Linked DNA regions of Drosophila melanogaster. The gene in region 1 interacts genetically with each later gene. Each region holds a gene or a part of one and is shown on either strand. Other genes may lie near its edges.

Region 1 (10,611 bases):
TAGAAAAGGAGGGCAACAATGTGGAAGAGAGAGATGGAAGGTCGCGTGTGTGTGTGTAGGCAGGCTAAGATTGCTGGGGCTCAAATGAACGGAATGCTCCTAAATTACAGATGGTGGTTACTAGATAGATAGTTTACCTCTACAAATAATGAATACTTAAGTAGTATAAATATAAATTTAAAAAAAAAGGAAATGGATATTGCATAGGATTTTATAAATTTTTAGGATAAAGGATCTAAGTGGTAAGGCTTTCTTTTCAAACAATGTTGTTTTAGCTCAGTAAATCCAAATACTTATAGCTGAATTTTGTTTTCCAGGGTGTTTACCAAATCGCAACCATTATACAGTGATAGTTTAAGTTGTTGAATTTAATTATGCTACCGTTGGGTCTACAAATTCCATCCAATCTAAGACTGTGGGGTAAACTCAAGCAAAACGAAAGCGCCACCCATCCGAAGATGGCTCTCAATTCCCGCCTCACTCACACCTTCTGCTGCTCGGCGTTTTGCCTCCCCCAACCAATTTTTCACGTACACGCATTTCTTTTGATAATTTCATAATCATGTTTCTATTTTTCACATTGATAACTCAGCCCGAGATCACCGGAACTGAGAGCTTTATGGGACGCAGCTTCGAGTGTCAATAACTCATCCGCTGACATCGAATGCTGGTCGCCAACGCAACTGCTAAGCCCCCCCCACTCCCCGACCCACTAATCCGTTGGGGAAACTCCAGGAAAACCCGCTTGAAATTGCTGCACGAGCTGCAAGATAAATGAAATGTCATTTGCCTCGTGTGCAACAGATCGGCGTCTTCATTCCATGGCTGATATATCCCCCTATTAGGCATTGGAGTACCCAACTTGGATGACTCCATTGAAGGCAGAACAGAGGAATCTGAGATGAAAAATAAGTGGATACTGAATAATTATTGATCAATTATATATCACTGTTAACAAGGAAAACATTAACGCATAGAAATTAGATAGTTTTGTATTTATTTGTAGAGAAAACACTCTTGGTTCGTTATTTACTTTGGACAAATCAGAGGATATTGAAATATTTAAAGATATTTCATTTAATAATTGTATTGTATTATTTGTGGAACTAAATTAAAATATGTACATACGCAGAATGTGAGCAATGGACCAACACAGCTTTTATATACATGCACCACTAAAATAATATCAAAATCACACAAATGTCATAAACAGAATCCATTAAAAGCAACCTGAAAATACTGATTCTTTTTATTAAAAATAAACTTGAACCACCCACGAATTCAACTGTTGTTGTTCTTATTAGTTTCATTTTTTCCAAGCAATTTTTGTTCGACCATTGAAATGCGTACGAGATTATTTAGACAGATCGTGGCATTAAAATATATGTACATGCTTATATTTATATATATACATATATGAGCACAGACATATATTAAGCGCATACATCCGAATATTTTAATTAGAGTATAGATAAAAAATAACAACAACAAAGGAAAAAGAGACGAGCAGAGAAGAAGTGAACGAGCGGGGGGCTGTCAGGGGCGGAGGCAGCAACAAATATTAACAATAATTATACCCAAAATATAAAGACGCGGCGACACCTATTCCATATAAATTTTAGGTTTCCACAATTTTTTCACTCACTCTCGATAAAAATAACATTCCACACGTACACACACAACTAGATGGGATGCGGTGGGGCGGTGAAGAAACAGATTTGGGAAGTGAATTTTGGACAGTACCTACACACCACCACCACCCATTCTTGCCCCTGGAAGAGTGGAGGGGGGGGGGGGTGCTTGTGGGTAAAAATAAATACAAATGTCGCCGGCATCAATAAGATATAAATTAAAAGCGTACTACAATCCCAATGTTAATTAGAGAAGCACGAGAAGCGAAGAGAATGCAGCGGAGGTGGGGCCAAACATAAAACTAAGGTGGAGCGAAGTGAAGCGAAGAATGAGAAATTCAGCCCCGCTACACTGAGATAAAGTAGTGGAAATCTTTTAATTATGAAATACATTTTGATATCCTAAAAGGCAAGAATTGTTAGCTATATATAACAATTAACAAGATATATTATGAGTAGTTAACACAGAATTGCAGAAGAATTCTTAAACATTGAAAAATTTTCTAGATTCTTTCTTATAGTGCAAGATTATATACCCATTGAGTTTGGGTATGGAACTTTCCTCCGCCCAACCAATTTCATACCTCGCTCCAATGGAAGCGCTTGACGTGCTGTCGTGTATCTATTAGATACATTAGCTGCCGCATGCCACCAACTTGCGCTCCCTTTTTGGGAAGCTGTAGCTGCATCTACAGATCGTTGCATCCGAAACTCTGTGCATTTGTGGATCGTTGGGATGTTTGGTGGTGCGGCGACAATTTCGGTGTTCTGCCATTTGGAGTGTTTTTACACGTAAATTTATTTTGTTTTTGTCGACTTTAATAAAGTTGCATCTGCCGAGGGGTGGCACCTCATAGCTTTAGCGTCTGCCGAAGTGGGAGACAAACTTTATTTATTCCAGCCTCAGGCAGCTTAATGACTTCCTGCAGGGGCGGCTACTGCGAGAAATCGGAGGAGGGCAAGATTAAGGTGCGGTTCCAGTTCTCCACGGAACTGTCTTCCTTTTTTTGAATTATTATTCTACCATAAAGCTCCGCATATCTAAGGAAAGTATGGTTAGGGAAAATACATCATATTAAGTATATTCATGTATCTTTAGCCTTATTGTTAAATTACACTATTATTGGACAAATATCTGTGTACATTCATTCGTTTAGACATCCGTTTAGAAAATTTAGTAATTTGCACATTTGAACGTTTTTCCTTAGCTGCGTCATTTTAATTACAATTTCAAATAAGGTCAAATGATTTATTGAAATCCGTCTCACAACTACAGTGCATTCCAATGACTAAAGTTATGCTTGTGTCTTAGTTTGTTTTCTTATTTGGTCCACATTTTTGTAAGTAAAGTTAAAGTAAATTAAAGTATATTTTAATTCAAAAATTAGGGTTAGTTCATTTTTATATTTATTTTTGTACTTAAACTTACATTTTACATTTCCTTTTCAGACTGAGAAATAACTTAATTCGATGAAATGCTACTTTATTTATGGAAACTATAATTTATCAGAGAGCGCACATTTTATCGCACTTAACACCCAATGAATCAAAAACTCGGGCTGCTCTCTTCTACCGAAAACTTTTGGCCAAGAAAGCGCTGGCAATTCTGCAATTCAATTGGTCGGCCGTCCGTCTTTCTTTCTTCTCGGGCTCTCTGCAGTCTTCACCTTGCCACTTTGCCCGGTTGGAAAAGTAAACACAATCTGATTGTATGGCTTAGATAATAGCCCCCTTGTGCGCCAGTGTGTGTGTGTGTGTGTGTGTCTGTGAGTGTGTTGGCCAGTTGGAGGAGGATGGGGCTAAAAAAAAACGAGTGAGAAACCACCGACGCGCTGCATGCAACATGTTCGCCGTCGAACGTCAAACGACGAGCATCGAACGTCGAACTTCGAACATCGAACGTGGAGCCGACGAAGAGTGCGTCGGATTTTACTTACCGCTTACGAAAACAGGAATTCTTATTACGCGCAGTACAATTTCAGAAATCAGACGGGCAGCAAGTGTCGTGGTTCAAGTGCGGCTAATTTGGCTTATATGTGATTTTCAGTGTTTTGATGGCTTAGTAAACTATCAGAAACACAGAGACAACTGAATTTGAACTTCTCAACTAAATAAATACAAACCATAACATAACTAAAGAAAACAAAGAACTGTAATATAAAATAAAAATAAATTAAAAACGAAAAACTATTAAAATGCATATAAACCCGAATTGGAACGAATAAACTTGGTGCTGTTAACTGTTTTCGAAATAAATCCAAGAAACTTCCGTTCCTAGTGCGAAACTATAAACAACAAGAACTGCAGCGGCGACGCGTCGGCAAATTGGCATAAATAAATAAAATCAGCGACGTTTTTTTCTGCTGCCGCTGTTCTTTTTTTACAACCCGATTTTTATGAATGAATGCAGCTAACAGGCAGAAAAAAAACCGCAACAAAAGAGCGAGATAGCGCGAGTCGCGTGCACAGGAGCGAAATCGTTGAAGAAAACGGGGGAAGTGGGGGCGGTTGTAAAAAAGCGGACAGGTTGTACCGTTCGATTGCCGCCCACCGCCCGTTTGTCGCCCACTTTTTGTTGTTATTATTTTTCGGTTTGCTTTTCCGCTTTTCCTCCTAGGCGACACACGCTCATGCTTGTCACTTTGTTGCTTTTGCTTTTCGCCTGTCAGCGGCTGTCACAAATCCGCAAACAAACACACAAACACTCACACACACACACACACGCAGCAATTGTTGTCGTTGCAAAATTAATAACGGAAGTTGTGCATTTTATTAATAAAAACGAAATTCACACAGAACCAGATTCACAATCGCAATCAGAATCAGAGAAAATAAAACCAGAACACGAAACTCGCTGCGAAAAAGAGCGCACGAAACAAAAAACAAAAACAACAAAAATCGCAAGTGCAGCGCGACGGCTTCTTCGTCTTCTTCTTATTCTTGTGGCGTTTTTCTTCTACTTCGTTTCGTTTGTTTTCCGCTTCTCGGAAAACCCAGGAAAATGCTCTCTGATTTGCCAGCGATTCTCATTCATTTTGTTCTTATTGTGATTGCAGTTGTGCAGTGTTGAAAAATCAAACTAAATTCAAAATCGGCTTTAAAGAAAACAAATTCATAAAGGGAAATACCCAAAGAAAATAACCCTCAGTGTTTCAAAAGTGTTCAAATTTTACAATTGTGGCATCACAACAACAAATTCAGCAATCATCGTGAATTTTCAAAAAGAAGATTAAGAAATCAACAGTGCAAACGGTAAGTTTTAAAACTGATTCTTGGAAATGTATGTACGAATCTGCTTGGATGGCAACTTTTTAACAGGGAATTTGATCGTTGAAGTCTTTGGGGTTAGTTCCAATGTTTGTTTTCTGACAGTATATGAATTTTAAGTTATTGATTTACTTAAATTTAATGTAACTAATATTCTGGAAACGAAACCAAACGAGAATCAAATCGTTTAAGCTGTTTAACTAGATCACATTAAAATCGTAGTAAAATAGAACTTTCTCGCTTCCCTAGACTTTTATAACTTTATATGTCATGATTTTGTTTTACATAAATTGAATTAGGTTAACAAATGTTTTATGACCGCGATCTTTGTTTGCGATCTCTCTCAGTGATCGTAAACCGAAGTTAATGGCTTACAAAATCGGGCTCACAAAAGGCGTCAGCATTTGGAATTGTCTTTAAACTAGTTGGCCAAAATGTGTGAATCTAAGAAAATTATGTATTTTTTGGTGTTACACGCTTTCTTGATTGGTCTGCTGCTCTTGAAGACAGACCCGAATAGTTGGTGTCCTCTTGCGATTTGATAAATGAATCTTGCAACTTAGGGAAAACGTTTTCGGGGGAATTTTCGTGTGCAGTAATTGCCAACTTTTTTGGAGGCAGTAGTGCTGTGGCACCCATAGGTAGGTAGTGTTGTGTGTTATGGCCAATAATGGTAATAGCAGCTAATGAACCTGACTCTCGACTGAATTTTTGGATTTAGTCTCGGAGTCGGGGGTCTGCGATACCCAACACCAAACACCATCGCGTAAGTGTAGATTCCTCGCCTGGGCGAGTGTTGTTTTTATTTTTCACCGGCCCGTTGAAAACAAACACAAATACGTAGATGTGGAAACCCGGGGATGCTGGGAAACAAAAGGGTCAAGGGGGCGAACAATTAACGCGTCGCTGTAATTACAGCAAATGGTTAAAAAAAAGGGGTTTGGGAACAACTAACCAGAAAAAAGACACAAAGAGAGGGAAAAATAGAAAATATTAATAATCAATAGCCCGCTAAAAGGCATCGATGGAGTCGGTCGAGTTGGTCGCGATGGTTGAGGCAATTTTATCGGTCATTGAACGGCCAAAAGAAGCCAATACCAGAAAGAGATTTTTTTACAAGCCGAAAACGCAAATCGTCGGACTTGGAAATTATGCCAAAAACTTCGACTTTAGACGCGGCAAGAAGCGATCGGTTTTTGGTTAATTACCCGGCCAAATCTCCGTTAACCTCCGGCGAAGAAACTTCGATGGCCTTTTCTGGGGGGCTGAGCAGTTAATTACATAAAAACAAGTGATTTGCGTGTGCGCTGCTGCTTTTGCTGCTGCCCACCGGCATCGATTCTCCAGCTCCGTTTCTTAGATTTTTTTTGTGTTGGGTAATTTTCAACTCGCCAACTTTCGGCCCGGCTAATTAGCGGAGAAAATCTGCGGCACAGGCCGAAAACCCATTTTTAGGTTGAACACTTGCGAGTGTTTGGTAAATGTCCAAGAACAGGTGACCTTTGACTTTAGTTTGAGGGCCTAAAGCATGATTAGGTAAGCAGGAATCAATTTAGAATTCAAAAAAGTCATTACATATTCAAATACTCGCATAAAGAACCTCCTATTAGTTGCTTACAAATTTTTCTTATTCCATAATTACTATTTTAAAACTTAACGCATAGCTTAACAAATTTGCTCACAGAGTTTGAGAGCTTATTTCATTACTTCAGTTCTGTAATTATATTCTGTGCAATAACCTTTTGCTCTTAGCTTAGATTGTATGAAAAAGTGCAGAATATAAGTACATTTTGGCCGTCATCTTCTCTCTAAAATTCTGCTTTATTTCATTATGTCTCAAATCATTCTTCAGCCTCGGTTCTCACTTTTTTCCTGCCCAGTTTTCGAATGACCTTTGGTTGGCGCCGTCTTCTCCGCATCCTTTTGCCCCACACTCCATATAATTTATCATAAAAAATAAAAGTTTTTTGGCTTTTTACGAACCTTTTCATGGGGTTTCTGCCCCCCTGCGGTCAGATGAAAAAAAAGTGGAAGGAAGCTGGACAATCGGCGCCGTGACTGCGTTCTAGATAAATAAGCATTCTTAATTATCCCTTTGCCTCCTTCTCTGGGGTGGCAAAAATGTTATAAACAATGGAAACCGCGCACTTAATGCGTTTTCTGTTTTCCAGAAGAAGGAAAAAAAAAACGAACGCGGCTGCGGCAAGTATTTTTCTTCATATTATTCATTATTTTGTGGCCAAAAAAGAAAATGTTTTTATTGCCTGCGAAAAAGGGTATAAAATGCTCAGTCGCCATTAGCCAAGGACCCGCAACCAAAACGACAACAATTCCAATCAAATGTAAAGGAGCAGGGCATAAAAAAAGGAGATTTCCAAGTGGCCCAAATGCCGAGATACTCAATGATGGGTGGAGATTTGGGTGTGAGAGGTCCAAAAAGAAATGCCGTCGGTAGATGAGATTTGGATTTCTGGCCCATGACAGGCCAGTGACTTTTCACTTTTTCGCATGTGAGCAAATGTGTAATTGAAGTTCCGCTCGAGAATAAAGAAGTGAAGCGGGCCAAGAAACAAAGGAATGTGGAGAAAGGACTCTAAGGACCTGGCCAAGCCATTCGATTCCAACGTTCGCCTTTCTCACTCGCCGACGGCGGCGCCTTGGCCCAAAGTATCGCGATTGCCGCATGAGTTGGCACAAAATCACAAAAATCAGTAAATCGCTCACAAAGTGCACGAAAAGTGCAGCGAAAATGAAAATGATGTGGCACTTTCTCAATGCTACCTGCCATGTAAATCATCAAACAAAAAGATCCTTCGAAAATATTATTGCAGGAGCATGGGACTTAAGCGGAATATACATATGTACATAGCTGCATCGCATCGATTTGGAGAAATATTCTCATCAAAATATTTGCACTTCTTCTTCGAGAACTCCTAACGACACCAATTGAGAACGTAAGCCAACGTAAACATTCGAAGTTTGAAGCTGCTGTCACAGTGGACAGTCGCTAAAGTGTACGAACTGGCTGTCCTTTTAATTAACTATGAAAAAAAGGTAAAAGATACAGTTACAGTTATTAAGTTCGATACTCTAGGATTTTGGTTAGTTTTAAATAATTTGAATCGCAACTAGATATGAAATATTCTATTTTTTTTTTTTTTTTTTTTTTTTTTTTAATTTTTATTATTTATTGAATCTTCCCTTTGTGTTAAGAGACTAACAATAAGTGTTCAAATCTTAATCTAACTTAATTAACTTTCACTTAGTGATAGTTTTTTTTTTTCATTAATGCCCTAATAAGTTTATTGCTGGGCTGGGAGGTCGTTGCGGTGCAGCCGGCTTTGACTGCATACTCGGATTAGTTTTCTTGCGAGGGGATTTGTATGGGTGGTCAGCTTTTCGTTATACTTCGTTTTTTTCTCAGCTATTACTTCGATTACTAATTTGATTTTTAGGTCTCTGTGTATGTTTTCGTTCCGAAGGTACCACGGCGCTCCAGTGATAATTCTCAGAATTCTTGACTGTGCTCGCTGAATAATGTCTATGTTACTTCTGGATGCGTTGCCCCACAGCTCGGAGCCATAAGTCCAGATAGGTTTTAAGACGGAGTTGTATAGAAGAGCTTTGAACTCCAGACTAAGTGGAGAGCGAGCATTTATGAGCCAGTGGAGGTTCCTTGCTTTAAGTTTAAGATGTTTAGATTTGGCTTCTATATGTTTGCGCCAAGTGAGCCGCCTGTCCAGATGAACTCCCAGATATGTTACCTCGTCGGCTTGTGGAATGCATATGTTATTCAAGACCAGTGGTGGGCATGTTTGTTTGTTTAAGGTAAAGGTAACCTGCTTGCATTTTTGAACATTTATTGAAATTCTCCAGTCGGCAAGCCATCGTTCTACAGATGTTAAGTGTCGGGATAGGAGTGCCGTGGCTTTTATTGGGCATTTCGAGCGACTGAGTATCGCGGTATCATCAGCGAACGTGGAGGTTGTTAGATTGTAGTCTATGGGGAAATCCGCCGTATACAGGGTGTATAAGATTGGACCCAGTACACTGCCTTGCGGCACTCCAGCTTCGATTGCGCAATCGCGTGAAGTGCTTGTATCGCATCTTATTGCAAACACTCTGTTATATAGGTATGACTTCAGTAGCTTATGTGTGTTTTGGGGCAACAGCTTGATTATTTTAAACAAAAGTCCATCGAGCCACACTCTGTCAAATGCCTGCGCGACGTCTAGAAAAATGGCTGTGCAGTATTCTCGATGTTCAAAAGCAGTACGAATTTCTGACGTGATTCGGTTGACCTGTTCGATGGTTCCATGTTTTTCTCTAAAGCCAAATTGATGTGTTGGAAGTGTGTTGTTTATTCTAAGATGAGGGCTAATCCGAAGGAGTAGCATTTTTTCAAACAGCTTTGAAAGACATGTTAGTAAGCTTATCGGTCTATATGATGATGGCTGCGTTTTATCTTTTCCTGGCTTTGGAATCATTACTATGGTCGACTTTTTCCATTTTTGAGGGAAGTATCCAAGCTTGGCGATTGCGTTGAACAACAGGCAGATGTGAAGAATAGCACACTTTGGGAGTTCAATGAGCATTCTTGGAGTTATTAGGTCGTAGCCAGGCGATTTTCTTGGGTTCAGTTGCTCTTTGATAACCTTTGCTAGTTCACATGGTCGGAATTCAAAGGGTTCTTGAGGATCTAGATTGGCTGCTATTAAAGGAGGGAGAATAAATGTGTTGGTAGAGGGATTTGATAGTAGCATTACGTCGATGTTTTTTTCGTAAATGAACTGTGTGAGCTCTTGTGTATGCCGTGAAACGCCATTTGCGTTCCACAGAGATATCCGTAGGGAAGCCATTATGGGGATTTTGAAGATACAAGAAGTTGAATCAGGATATTTTGGTTTTTCATGAGCTCTTGCAAAGTATTTTGCATGAACGTCATGAAGTCTTTCATGCTTTGCTGTAGGGATAGCATCATAGCTTCGATGCCACTTTGTTGTGTTTGTTGGATGTTTGTCGGTGTATGTTCGGAGTGAGCAGTTCTTGTCGGTGGGGCGGGCACTTCTAGTCCGGATTTTAGGGCGCTAGCGAAAGAAATTGTTGGAGTAGTGCTTGGGACAGTTAGGGGTGGTTGAAAAATCGGTTGCGGAGAGTAGAAATTGACTTTGTTGTATGTATGTGCTGTGGCAATACGTTTGTTTAGGCGGCTCTTCAATTCTTTGTACACCACACAACCTCTGTAGTTTGCAGTATGTTTTTCCCCGCAGTTACTGCATTTCTTCACAGACTTATCGTCCTTGTTTTTGGGGCAGTTTGCGGTAGTATGAGGTTCGCTACAGACAACACATACGGACTTAAGGGTGCAGTATGCCTTGGTGTGGCCGTATTCTTGGCAATTAGTACATTGAACTGGATTGATACGTTTGTGCGGCTCCTCCACGGTGATCCTCCGATGTAGCAAGTACTGTAAATTGTATATTGGGTGCACTTCGTTTTTCTTTAGTGCCTGGAGCTCTGGTTCGAGTTCTATTTTGAATAGTGGCTGCGGAACTTTGTCTTTGTTTAAAATATTAATAGCTGTCTTTGCAGAAAAGTTTTTGGCCTTCAGAGCCTCAATTATCTCAGCTGGTGTCACTGTTGCTTCAATGCCCTTAAGTACTACCTGTAGCCCTTTGCAACTTTTTAATTGGTATGTGTAGTAGTTTTTACC
Region 2 (10,952 bases), on another chromosome or scaffold:
CTTTTATAGGTGCGATGGGTAAACAACAACACTGCACTGGGCCCCCGGAGTTCAAATCGAAGTTGGAGGGCCGCCAAGGCGGGCGATTTGCGTGCTGACTAATGGAATGCCGCTGGAGTTGTTGGATCTCCTTCGAGATATGCGATATGAAGATTTCTGCGAGATCTTCAAAAGTTAAAGAAAAGAATATAATCCTTGAAAATCCTTGTTCCATTCTATCACAACAACTTTTCATATAGAAATGCATGCGCTTATGGATATATGCTTGTCATATAGAATTGCTTAGTATCTTTGGATATATATTTGCTGCATCTCCTTTTCTCTTGTGATCTCCCCGATTTCTTATCATTGCTCTGACCAATCAGCTAAATGATTCTGACCAAATGGACGCGCCAGTGGGCACATCAAATGAAATCGAGCGTTGTCCGAGAGCCCGAAAAAAAATAAATATCCAGTAAAAATGTCAAACCAAAGGGCAGCGGGTGGAAAATTTTGAAGGGGTCTTTCGTGGGGTTTTCACGAATGGGAGTTTATGGCGAACCATGCAGGGCGTTACAACAAAGCTTGTGGGCGAACAAAGCGAACTGCAGAGAATGGCTAGGAATGCTGTGAGGAGAAGAAAAGAACACTTATAAATAAAAACATGCTCATTAATGTAAAAGTCAGTAACAGACAGAGATGGAATGGCAAACAGTGGGTGTGTGGGAGAGAGAGAGGGCCAGACAATGGCAAAAATCGAGGCGTCGGCGCTGGTATAGAAATACACTTTAGTTACACTCAACCTCACCTACTTTCCTAAGCTCCTTTTGGCCATTATGATATTGTATTGAAAGTGCCAAGTGATGCTGTCATAAAAAGTTGCGCTCGGTTTGAGCTTTTCCCCATCAAAAGAAAATGAAAGAAAATAAATGAATAAAAGCCGAGACAAGACCGAGAATAAAGAGAAGTCAAATTAAATGGAAGGAAAGAAATGGAATCGAATTGATTTTTGTAGATATATTTTGCAATAGAAACGTATGGCAACTGAATCCTTTATAGTTGCAATCCTAAAATAGTTGGCATCTTGCGATTTGATGTTCGACACATTGCAATTTGTAAGAACTTTAAAAGATGTCAGTATTCACAATTTTCGGTGTGGTCTCTTATTTCCCTGTCATTTTGTTTAAATCTAATTAGAAAATGTGACACAACAAAAAACCGCTTGGGAAGTTAACGAGAATTGTCAGGTCTTTTCATACAAATCCGCAGCAAAGCGTAACTTTAGTTTGCGCACAATAAAACCAAGGATGCTAAATCCTTTTGAATAAGCATTTCCCCTTAGCAATTTGCATAGCAATTAAAGCGAAAGGAAACTGTCAAGTGTTTTTCCTTTCTTGCATATATATTATTTTTATAACCCTCTGGAGCAGCAAACAAACAAATAAAGAAGAAAAATCGCGTGAAAATGCGCCAAATTGTTAGACAAAAATTTGCTGTATACATTATGCACAGCCACTCAAAACACAACAGAAGGAATAAAAAAAAATAAAAAAAAGAAAATCAGAGGCGGAGTTTGTTTCAGCTGCCAAGACTTTAAACTTTTTTTTTTATGTCCGCGGCCAAATCATTCCAGCAATGTTTCCAACAGAAAAGAAAATAAAAATAACAAAAAAAAAAATGCTAGGAAGATGAGAAGTATGAAAAGGAATTTTAGTTCTGGCATTGTCAGACGGTGGGTGGAAAATCTTCGAGAAGGGGCAACGTTGCACTTGACAGCTGCGAGCTCAGAAAACTTTTTGGACGCCATCAAAAGGCTCGATGAAGTGCCTCGAGTTTTTTCGAGAGCAATCTCCATCGAAATCAATTTGATCCCGTAACAAGTAGCATCCTCCCGCTGACTATATACAATTTCTACCCACCTGCAGGCACACGCACCCTTGCCAGGAGAGAGAGAGCTACGAGCTACGAGCTACGAGCTACGAGCTGTGGGTTGGATTCTCTTGAGTTTTCCACCGAGCTTTGCTTATAAATTAAATTCGTAATTGATTCCTGAATCCGCAATCCTGCAAATGGGATTACAACACGTTGGAAAATCGCCCGAATGAGAACCACCCCCGGCAAGCCATCATCAGCTAGGTGGGGGTTTTTGTGTGGAGGAAAATTGCGTGAGTGCTGCTGAAGTCTGAGGCCAAAGGAAGTTGCTGGATGTCAGTCAGCTTTGCACGAGACAGCAGGACCAGGTTCTACTTCCCCAGCGCTTGGCTTCTTCCTCCCCTGCCAAGTCAGCTGGCGTGTTAGTCAGTCAATAGATAGAGCCAGGATAGCAGGATACAAAGGATCTGTCCATCGGATGTACAAACGTACACGCATCCATATACGAGTATGTACACACACATATAATATAGATGTGGTGCGTATTTATCGGTTAAGTGTGCAGTGTGTTTGTTGCCTTCAACCCCAAAAAAAAAAAAAAAACAAGGATAAGTGCCGCATCCAGGCCATTCCCAATTCCCGAAATCCAAAAAATACAATCCCCTCTTCCGTTTTCTTCCGCCGGTTGTAGCAACAACAATGGAGCTGGCATTTTATAGTAGCAGAGTACACAGTACATACCCCACCGAATACGGAATACGGAATACTGAATCGTGATTCCCGAATCATAGCCATATCCATGTCATAAGTCCGTTAGCAGCTTACCAACGAACAACCCCGACTGGAAACCTCACCAATTAATTGGTGAAGTCAGCAAAAGATATAGGTATTATGTGTTGTGGTATTTTGGAACTATTTTAGGTATATATAACACTTAATTCCGTAATTCGATCAAGACAATATATATTTCCAACTGTGTAATAATGTAATCCCTACTAAATGAGGATCAAAAAGAAAATGCATGTTCCCTCGGAAACAAGAAGAAAACATTCTCTAATATGTAATACAAATGGTTAAGGGTTGTTACCTACTTTCGAAAAGGGTTGAGTACTACGTTTCTAAACAGTCATAAAAGTCACTAATCGCTAATAAGCAGTGCAATAAACTACTCGAAAGAGAAAATTATTTTGGTGCTGGGGAAAATCCTTTCCTACAAAACATTGCTCTGTAAACGCGAATGATAATAGCCAGTGGCTTGGAATATTAGATTTATAAATATCCTTGATTTTCAGGCTTAGTATTTCGAAATTAGAACAAGTAGTCAAAATGTTTGCACGTTTTAAATCCTTTTCCGTATAACAATAGATAAATAGAAAAATGTCTAATTATTTTTGTACATCTTCAAGTGAAAGAACTTTGTGTGAGACCAGATTGATCGAGTGCTTGGCCAAGTATTCATTCTTGTGTTCATGGCTCAGTTCGTTTGGCACAACAGAGCGAAGCGACAAATCCAGTTCTGAATACAAGTTTGTATCGGTGGTCCTAGGCGGCTACGATCTCCTCCGCGAATCCCCTTGATCCCCTCCCTATTGAATAAGGCCCCATACAAAAAACCGGACTGTGCCGCAGACGCCGACTTGAGATATTATGTTTTCCGCAGCTGTCAAATTTGATTTGACAAATGTAAATAATACGGACAGACAAAGAGATTGTTGACATAATGGAAGGCGAGCTGATTTACACTTTTAGCTGCGTGTCGAGATGCGATCGTGATCTCGTCTCCGGAACCCCGCTCCCCAACTCTCCCCCCCCCCCTTATCCATCGCCATACATTGCATATATATAGTTTTTTTTTTTTTTTCTTTTTTGTTTTGTCATGCCTGAACAACTTGCAAATCTAGCGACTGTTTGACTGACTGCCTCCGGCTAATGGCTACAAATTGTCACATCAGTTAAGTAGCGAAAAAAGTATGAGAAAACAATTGACGAGGCGATAAACTGATGATACGGGTTCGGAAAGAGTTAGCTAATTGGATAATGGTTCCGATTTCGTTGCGCTTGAGCAGATCGGGATGGGGAATCTCCTGGGGGTTGGATCAATCAATCTAGACAATCTCCCTGGTGTTATGCGATGTGATTATCATAATGGGAAGGAGTTCCACCACGCTTTGTTTAAGGACTTTCCTATTAACTCATTGGATCACCAAAATATTGAAAGTAATTATCAGTAGTTCTACATTTAATGTTTGTAAATTTCTCATTTCTCAAGTAGGGAAAAACCAAGGAGTAGATTTTTTTGATAGTATACTATTTATTTCCAAGGGCAGCATAAACATAATATATTTGTATACCATTATGTTTTCATGATCTGAAACGGTATTTTGAAAATCTCAGGCGGAAACCAGTGTGTTTTTTATTTATATTCTTTGGACCTCCCACCTTGCTGTTGTTTGATTTTTATATATGTTTTTTTTTTTAAGTTTAAATACTCCACACTTTACGCACTTTTCAAACACAATTTTCTTTAATCTTGTCAGGTTTTCAAAAAATTCTGGACTGCACAAAAAAACAAAACAAAACAGAATCTGCAGGGTGATGTTGTTTCTTGATTCCTTATCGTCGACGGCCACGAAACGGTTAACGGTTAGCGGTTAAACGGTGAGCCGTATCGGTTAAGGTCAGTGTATTTATTTTGCCTTCGGATTGAAGCAAAAAAGGGGAATCACACGTAAACACGGCGAGACATTTGGTTTATCTGACGACGCGACGGCAAAAGCGTTTGACGTGAGCGTGTGACAGGCGGCGACTGCTGGCCGAGAACGATCCAAAAAGCCGAAAAGCCCGAAAAACGAAAAAAAAAAAAAAAACAACAAATAACCGGGCCAAGACGACGCCGAGCGCCAAAGTGCAAGAAGCCGGCAGCGACGTTCGCAGCGACGCCGGCAGAATGCGAAAGTGGGGAATCCCCATCGCGTGGGGGGAGGTGGGTTGGCCCGTGTTATGTTCACCACACGCGGGCAAAAAAGCTAAGGCCAGCTTAGCATAGGTTTTCCCCCTCGCCGTGCTGTCGAATGACAAGCATTTTGACACCCAAGTCGTGGGTAGTCTTGTAGTTGCTATTTTGTGGGTTACATATTTTCTTTTTAAAGCCCTTCTGTGTAATCCCTACACTCTATGCTCTCAGCTTTACTTGGCGAGGCCATTCTTTCTTTGCTTTCCTTCTTCTTGTCTTTATACGTAGCCTACCCTCCTGGTCTAACCCTATATAAGTATAAACGTATTCTTTCTTTCTTTGAGTGAAATCCCTCTGTGCGTTTTAAACCCACGTACACCCCTGGATTTTCCGCTGTGATCTCCGCTCTTCGTTTCATATGAAGTGTCGACGTTTACTAACAGAATTCCAATTTTGAATGACGCTATTCGCCACTCTGCTCGACGCTTTGCTTCACAAAACCCACCACGGCAGCACAGTCGACGTCGGCAGAGGCAGAGGCACGAATTCGCCTCGTTTCGCTTCGTTTTGAGTGAGCACTTCTTTGCATGTGTGTGTGTGTGTGTGTGAGTAATTGAGCACTTACTCAGAACCGGTTTATGCTAGGTTTTTTTTGTATCCTATTTGGTCCGAGCCAGGATAACAACACGCCGGATAACTCACGCACATTCGAATCGCATCCTTTGACTTCTTGGGAAAAAAGGACAACGGCTTAACCGTTAAATGTGTGTGTGTATGGTGTCCATTTTTTTTGGGGGGGGATACTACGAAAAACTGGAGCACAGATTAAGTCGCTGCCAAGCGAAAATAAACAAATTTGCAGAAATACGTGGAACCAATTTCGGGTAAAAGGAGCCAAATAAAAAACAAACTAGGATGTTGGCATTGTTATGACCTTAAGTATATGAAATCTGGAAACAGCTTTAAGATATTAAAACAGCTAAGAATCCTTTTAAGACGTAAATATGATTGTAGCTATTAGTTAAGTAATATATATACCATATATATATGTATATATTTGGGTTGGAAATACTTGGTAATCAAATGAAAGTAAAAACAAAAAGCTCAGCTTTAAAAAAAACACTAAATATTAATTCTAAGTTACAGAAAAAATATACAAAACCAGAGATAGTTGGGACTGTATTCAGATTGAGCTAACAGCTTATAAGAAATTATTTAAAAGGATTTTCGTAGGAATAATTGTTGAATTTTTTATATCTTGAACTGAGAATTTAGAATTTTAAGCAACTTTTTTTTTATATATTAACGAATTTATAAATTATAAAGCTTAAAAAAGGAAGAAGCTCAACAAGAAGCAAAAAGAAGGATGAAGATTGTGCGTGCGAAAGGGAGGACCGATGTCACGCAGAGCTAACGGTAGTCGGAATGCCATATGACACTTTCCTTCGCTTTTCGCCTTTTCTTGGGTTTTCATCCGCCGAAGCGCCAGAACGTAATGAATAAAATATGCAATAAGCGTAAAGCAGTAGAAATATGCAAATTCGTTTACAACGTCGCATCTTCTCTACTCTTGCTTTCAAAACCTCCATCCACAAACGCATTCCCTCTCGCTCACACTGCGGCACTTTCGCATGGGTGCGAAAAAGACGGCCATAAAGCAACGCCCCCTGCAAGGCGACCATTTTACACAGTTTCATGTGCGCAAGAACGAGAAGGCAAGTGCCAGAGGGAATGCGCATTCTCGGTGAGAAAGAGTGGGAGAGCGAGTGAATGTGTGTGTGTGTGTGTATGACTGAGTGAGTGAGTTGAGCGTTTTTTACCGGACTGTGGTGAGTTTTTTTCTCATCTCATCGCGATCGCTTAGTGGGCGGAGTCTCGGGCTTGTGTTCATGTGTGTGCGTGTAGAAGCGAGATAGCGTTACATGGCGAGAAGGAAAACACGCACACACACGTAGTCAGCGATTTTGTCACACAGGCAAAAATGTCCTTTTCCGTCTCCGTGCCTTCTCGTGTCCCTTATTTCTCAGTTTCCACTTCACCTATATGGCTTTATTCGGTTTTTTGGCGCGAAATTTTAGGCTCAAATTCGGAAAAGGGAGCTAAAATTTGGAGAAATAATAGAAGCACAGAACTTTGAAAAATAAAATTTCTTTAAAAAAAAAGAAAAATGTTGAAAAGATATTGCTGTGATTATGAAATTACAGCTCGCAATGTAGGAACTCAGATAAATATTGAATTCAAAACAAATAAATGATTAATACGTCAGTTATTTCTTTGGATAATTTGTGCTTCAAATATTGAATTTTTGATAATTCCAGATCACTAATCTTAAAAATTTTAAATTTAAAATAATTATAAAATAAATGTGTAGCAATTAAAAAACGAGGGTACATTTCGTTTCTCTGCCAAACCATTTCCGAATGCCCAGAACATCAAAAATAACATGTAAGAAGTTCCTGAATGCATCTGCCATGGCCGATGAGAATCAACTGTAAAATATGGCGCAATGTGCAATTGTTGATAATGGGGCATGTGGCGCGCATATCCTACCGATTCGCTATTCCGTATAGCCCGACTTTTTTACGCAGCTCTGGCGCCTGCGCCTCGCCTGCTAATTAGTCGAAGCTCCCGATCCCGAGGGATATACGAAAAGGGTGGCGTTTGGGGGGTCAGGAATACACTTGCTCCTTGTATTTGCTAAACTTTGCATTAAATTTTGGCGCTGCACAGGCTGTGGCAATTAATTTAGAGGCGCAACAAGCGTTGAAAGCGTCGAAATGAAGTGTGACGAGCATCGCAGAGGAGCTGCCACATTGCCACAGATGTATTTCCTTGTCCTCGGGGGAAGGATTGCACTGCAAGGAAGAAGGGCCAAATACTGGGTTCCCAAATAAAAATATGTAATATTTATTATTATTATTTGTAGTCTGAATTGCTTAGGTTTAACGCCCCAGAAAAATCCAAACAAAACATGGAAAGTTTTGCGTTTTTCCAGTGATATTTCTAATGTCTTTTTTTTTTTTGCCCAGTGCATGGAGGGCGTGCTGCAGGCTTTCCCACCTTTCCTTGGCTGCCTTACCGTGTCATCTTTTTCGGTTTCTCCAGGCGAATGTCAATGTGCGTGACTTTTGTTGCCGATGTAGCTGCTGTTTTCTGCCTTTTCCAGTTGCATCATTCAACCATGACAACAATCATCTCCTCGGCTTCTTTTTGCTCTGTGCCTTTGTTGCTGTTTGCTGTTGCTGTTGTTGTCAAACACTAGACAACAAATTGTTGTAATTATGTTCAGGTTGCGTTTCGCTTGTCGCTTCCCGATGTCATAATGCTACCCGCAATTATGGTAAAAGTTGCATGAAACAAAACAGCAGCAATAATAGTAGTAGTAGTAGTAGTAGAGCAGGAGCAGTAGCAATAATAATGGTAACTGCAAACAAACAACAAGCCCAGCGGAAAACGTTTCATTTTCAGTTATGAATTGACAAGAGTCTCTCCATTTTTTCTCTTTTTTTTTTTGTTGTCTTCTCTGCATTGTTTTGTTTTTGTAAAATGAGCGAGGGAAATGTGGAAAACCGCCAGGGAATTAGAAGTTGGGTGTGCCCTTTTCGCAAAGAGTACTTTCCTGCGCCAAAGGATCTGCAAATAAGCTGTAACTTCATGCATTGCCAATGATTTACGATAATTTCAAGTCAAGAAAAACTAGCAATTAATATTCATTTATATTGCAAGAAAATTATAATTAAAAATATAGTTGGCCCTTTCAACTGATTTCAATCCCAATCAAACTATAAAAATCTGCTTAAAGAAATGACGAAACTCGATAACTTGACCACCATACGATTCCTTCCATCGATCTATTTCAATAAATGTACTCGTGTATATATTCTACCAGGCAATCGAGCTAATTAATTAATTAATTATATAGACTTTTGATATGTATCTGATATAATCTAATAGCAAAATGAATATGTTCTGGATAATAAATGATTCACACTTTATTGCGACTTCAAAGGCTCTGCTGGTCGTTACAAATCACAACGTTTTATTCGTTTTTAAATTGTAATACCTAATCAATATCAATATTTCCAATGCACTTCTGTTCCATTCATTTTTCAATAATATAAACATTGCGAGCCAATCTCAAAGCACCATTATTTATGCATTTAATTGTGACTCCCAAAAGACAAAACTCCAATGTCATATTAGTGATATAATTTGTACACTTCAGTTTTATCATAAACTCCTTTCCTTGTGTATGAGTCAAGTGTTGCAGGACCTGTAGTTCTTAGAGTCAAACGTTAGCCTTTGGCCAGCTGACACTCATGATTTCTCGACGCTCGATTCCCAGTTCCGGGAGATGGCGTGTTTGGCCAACTTATGAGACCGGACACGGACATCGTCACGGACACGGAAAGGGACATTGGCATGGGGATTGGGATTGGGTTGTATGGAAGTATGCTCAGGGATGATGGGATGGGAAGTGCACATAGAAGACACATGTGACACCGCAGTCACATGCAACAAGCTAAAAAGCAGAAAGGCTGGAAAAGATCGTCTAGTGGTGCTTGGCTGCTGGTGCAGAAGGGACAGTGGGTTCGATGGCTTCGTTGCTGACCCCTCGGTGGCTATTTTGACGATTATTAAACTGTCTCCGTGGCGGTGGCTCTTCAAAACGGCAGCGAAGCGAGGAGATAATTATGAGATGCGCGTTGAGCTGTTTTAAGTTGGCCCGAAACGCACACACACACACACATTGCGTGCTAAGCAAGCGGAAAGAAGCACTTACGAATTTCGTCAGATAGTTTCAACAACTCTAGATATGTAAATCTCTTTGAATCTATCATCCTTTTATTACTACTTACCAGCAATAACGAATCTTCAAGTATTTCGAACAGTGTATGTGGTAAGTACGGTACGGTTATTTGCTTTTTTCCCCGGCACGCATACACAAGTGAAATGCAATTTAGCGTAAGTGCCTCTAGACGCGACAATTGTCGTCCTGGACTCGTTGCCCCTCCCCAACTGGACGCCCATTCCACCTTATGTGATCCAGCTCCATCCCCTCCAGATTCCAAGGGTTGGACCCAAAAACCGCCGCTGGCTTTTGCTTACATATGCAGGTTCCGTTCGACGCTTCCGCTCCGCCTCGCAAATATCAGCTACACTGGGCGAAATAATGCAGAAGAAGGCATGCTGCAATGACAGTGTATTTTGTGTGTATCCAAAATTTCAATCTATATCTATTTGAATGAAGGCATTACTGATTTCTATAGCCGTATTATGAAATGTTGCATTGTTCTTCTTTTCTGACTGAAACTCCATTTTTCGGAGCTTTCTTTCCGAATATTTTTCTGCATTTTTTGTCGCAGTGGCGGTTTGGGTTAAGGGTCTAGGAGTCTGGGGTCTTGGGTCAGGGGTTCGAATCCGGACCCAGGCGAGTGTCGAGTGTGTGCCTGGAGTGGCTCTGGATGGCTCGCCACTTGGCTGCGAGTCGCCGGCTAATGTGCCAATAATAATCATGGCACAGAGCAGAGGCAGATGCAGGGCCGGAGTAATCATAACCCAGAATCCAGAACCCAGAGCCCAGAGCCCAGGGCCCAAATCCTAAACAGAAACAGAAACATAGCCAGCTCGACATCAAATGGCATGTTAAATTGTACAGCCTCCCGGCTCTCGCACCCGGAAATATTTTCCACTTTCGGACGCAACCGGGGCATTATTAGCTCTCATTTAGGTAAATCCCATTAAAGGAGCAGGGAAGAAAACGTCGAAAGGGAAAATCCACACAAAAAAAAAAAAAAAAAAAAAAAAAAAAACCGGCAGAAATTAGCGAGTGAGGGAGGAGAAAAGTAGCCTCGTTTGACATTTGGTTGGCTGCATTTGGGGTGTTTGGGTGGTGTTAATGCAAAGCCTTTTACGGCCAACCCAACCACCCAACCACCTTAACCATCAAGTCCATAATGAGCACCATTCAGATTTGCCCGAAAACCAATTCAAGTTGCCTCAAAAAGTCGGCTAGAAATTAGCTTTTAAATTTACTTAAAGCTGTCCAATTGGTACTGTTATTTTTTATTTATTTAAGAAAAATATTGATGATTTTCTAAGCTTCAAAAGCCGTGGTATTCAATCAATTTTCGAGGGCTCCATTCGA

Evidence for each region.
Region 2: of ab (region 1) and bi, changing one enhances a phenotype caused by changing the other (phenotypic enhancement), as found in Drosophila melanogaster (one study listed by BioGRID).

The regions. Positions count from the first base shown.
Region 1 is NT_033779.5:11,207,081-11,217,691, forward strand, and holds the start of ab (abrupt), read left to right. Parts: upstream 1-3,597; 5' UTR 3,598-3,667; exon of another isoform or gene 3,668-3,693; intron 3,694-4,687; 5' UTR 4,688-4,883; intron 4,884-10,611. UniProt on the Drosophila melanogaster protein: Expression is vital for development; may be involved in transcriptional regulation. In embryos, muscle specific expression is required for segmental nerve b (SNb) motoneuron target recognition within ventral longitudinal muscles.
Region 2 is NC_004354.4:4,407,150-4,418,101, reverse strand, and holds the start of bi (bifid), read right to left. Parts: upstream 5,247-10,952; 5' UTR 5,182-5,246; intron 4,641-5,181; exon of another isoform or gene 4,203-4,640; intron 1-4,202. UniProt on the Drosophila melanogaster protein: Essential protein that may function as a transcription regulator. Vital for pupal development. Required for proper development of the optic lobes and wings, and abdominal pigmentation.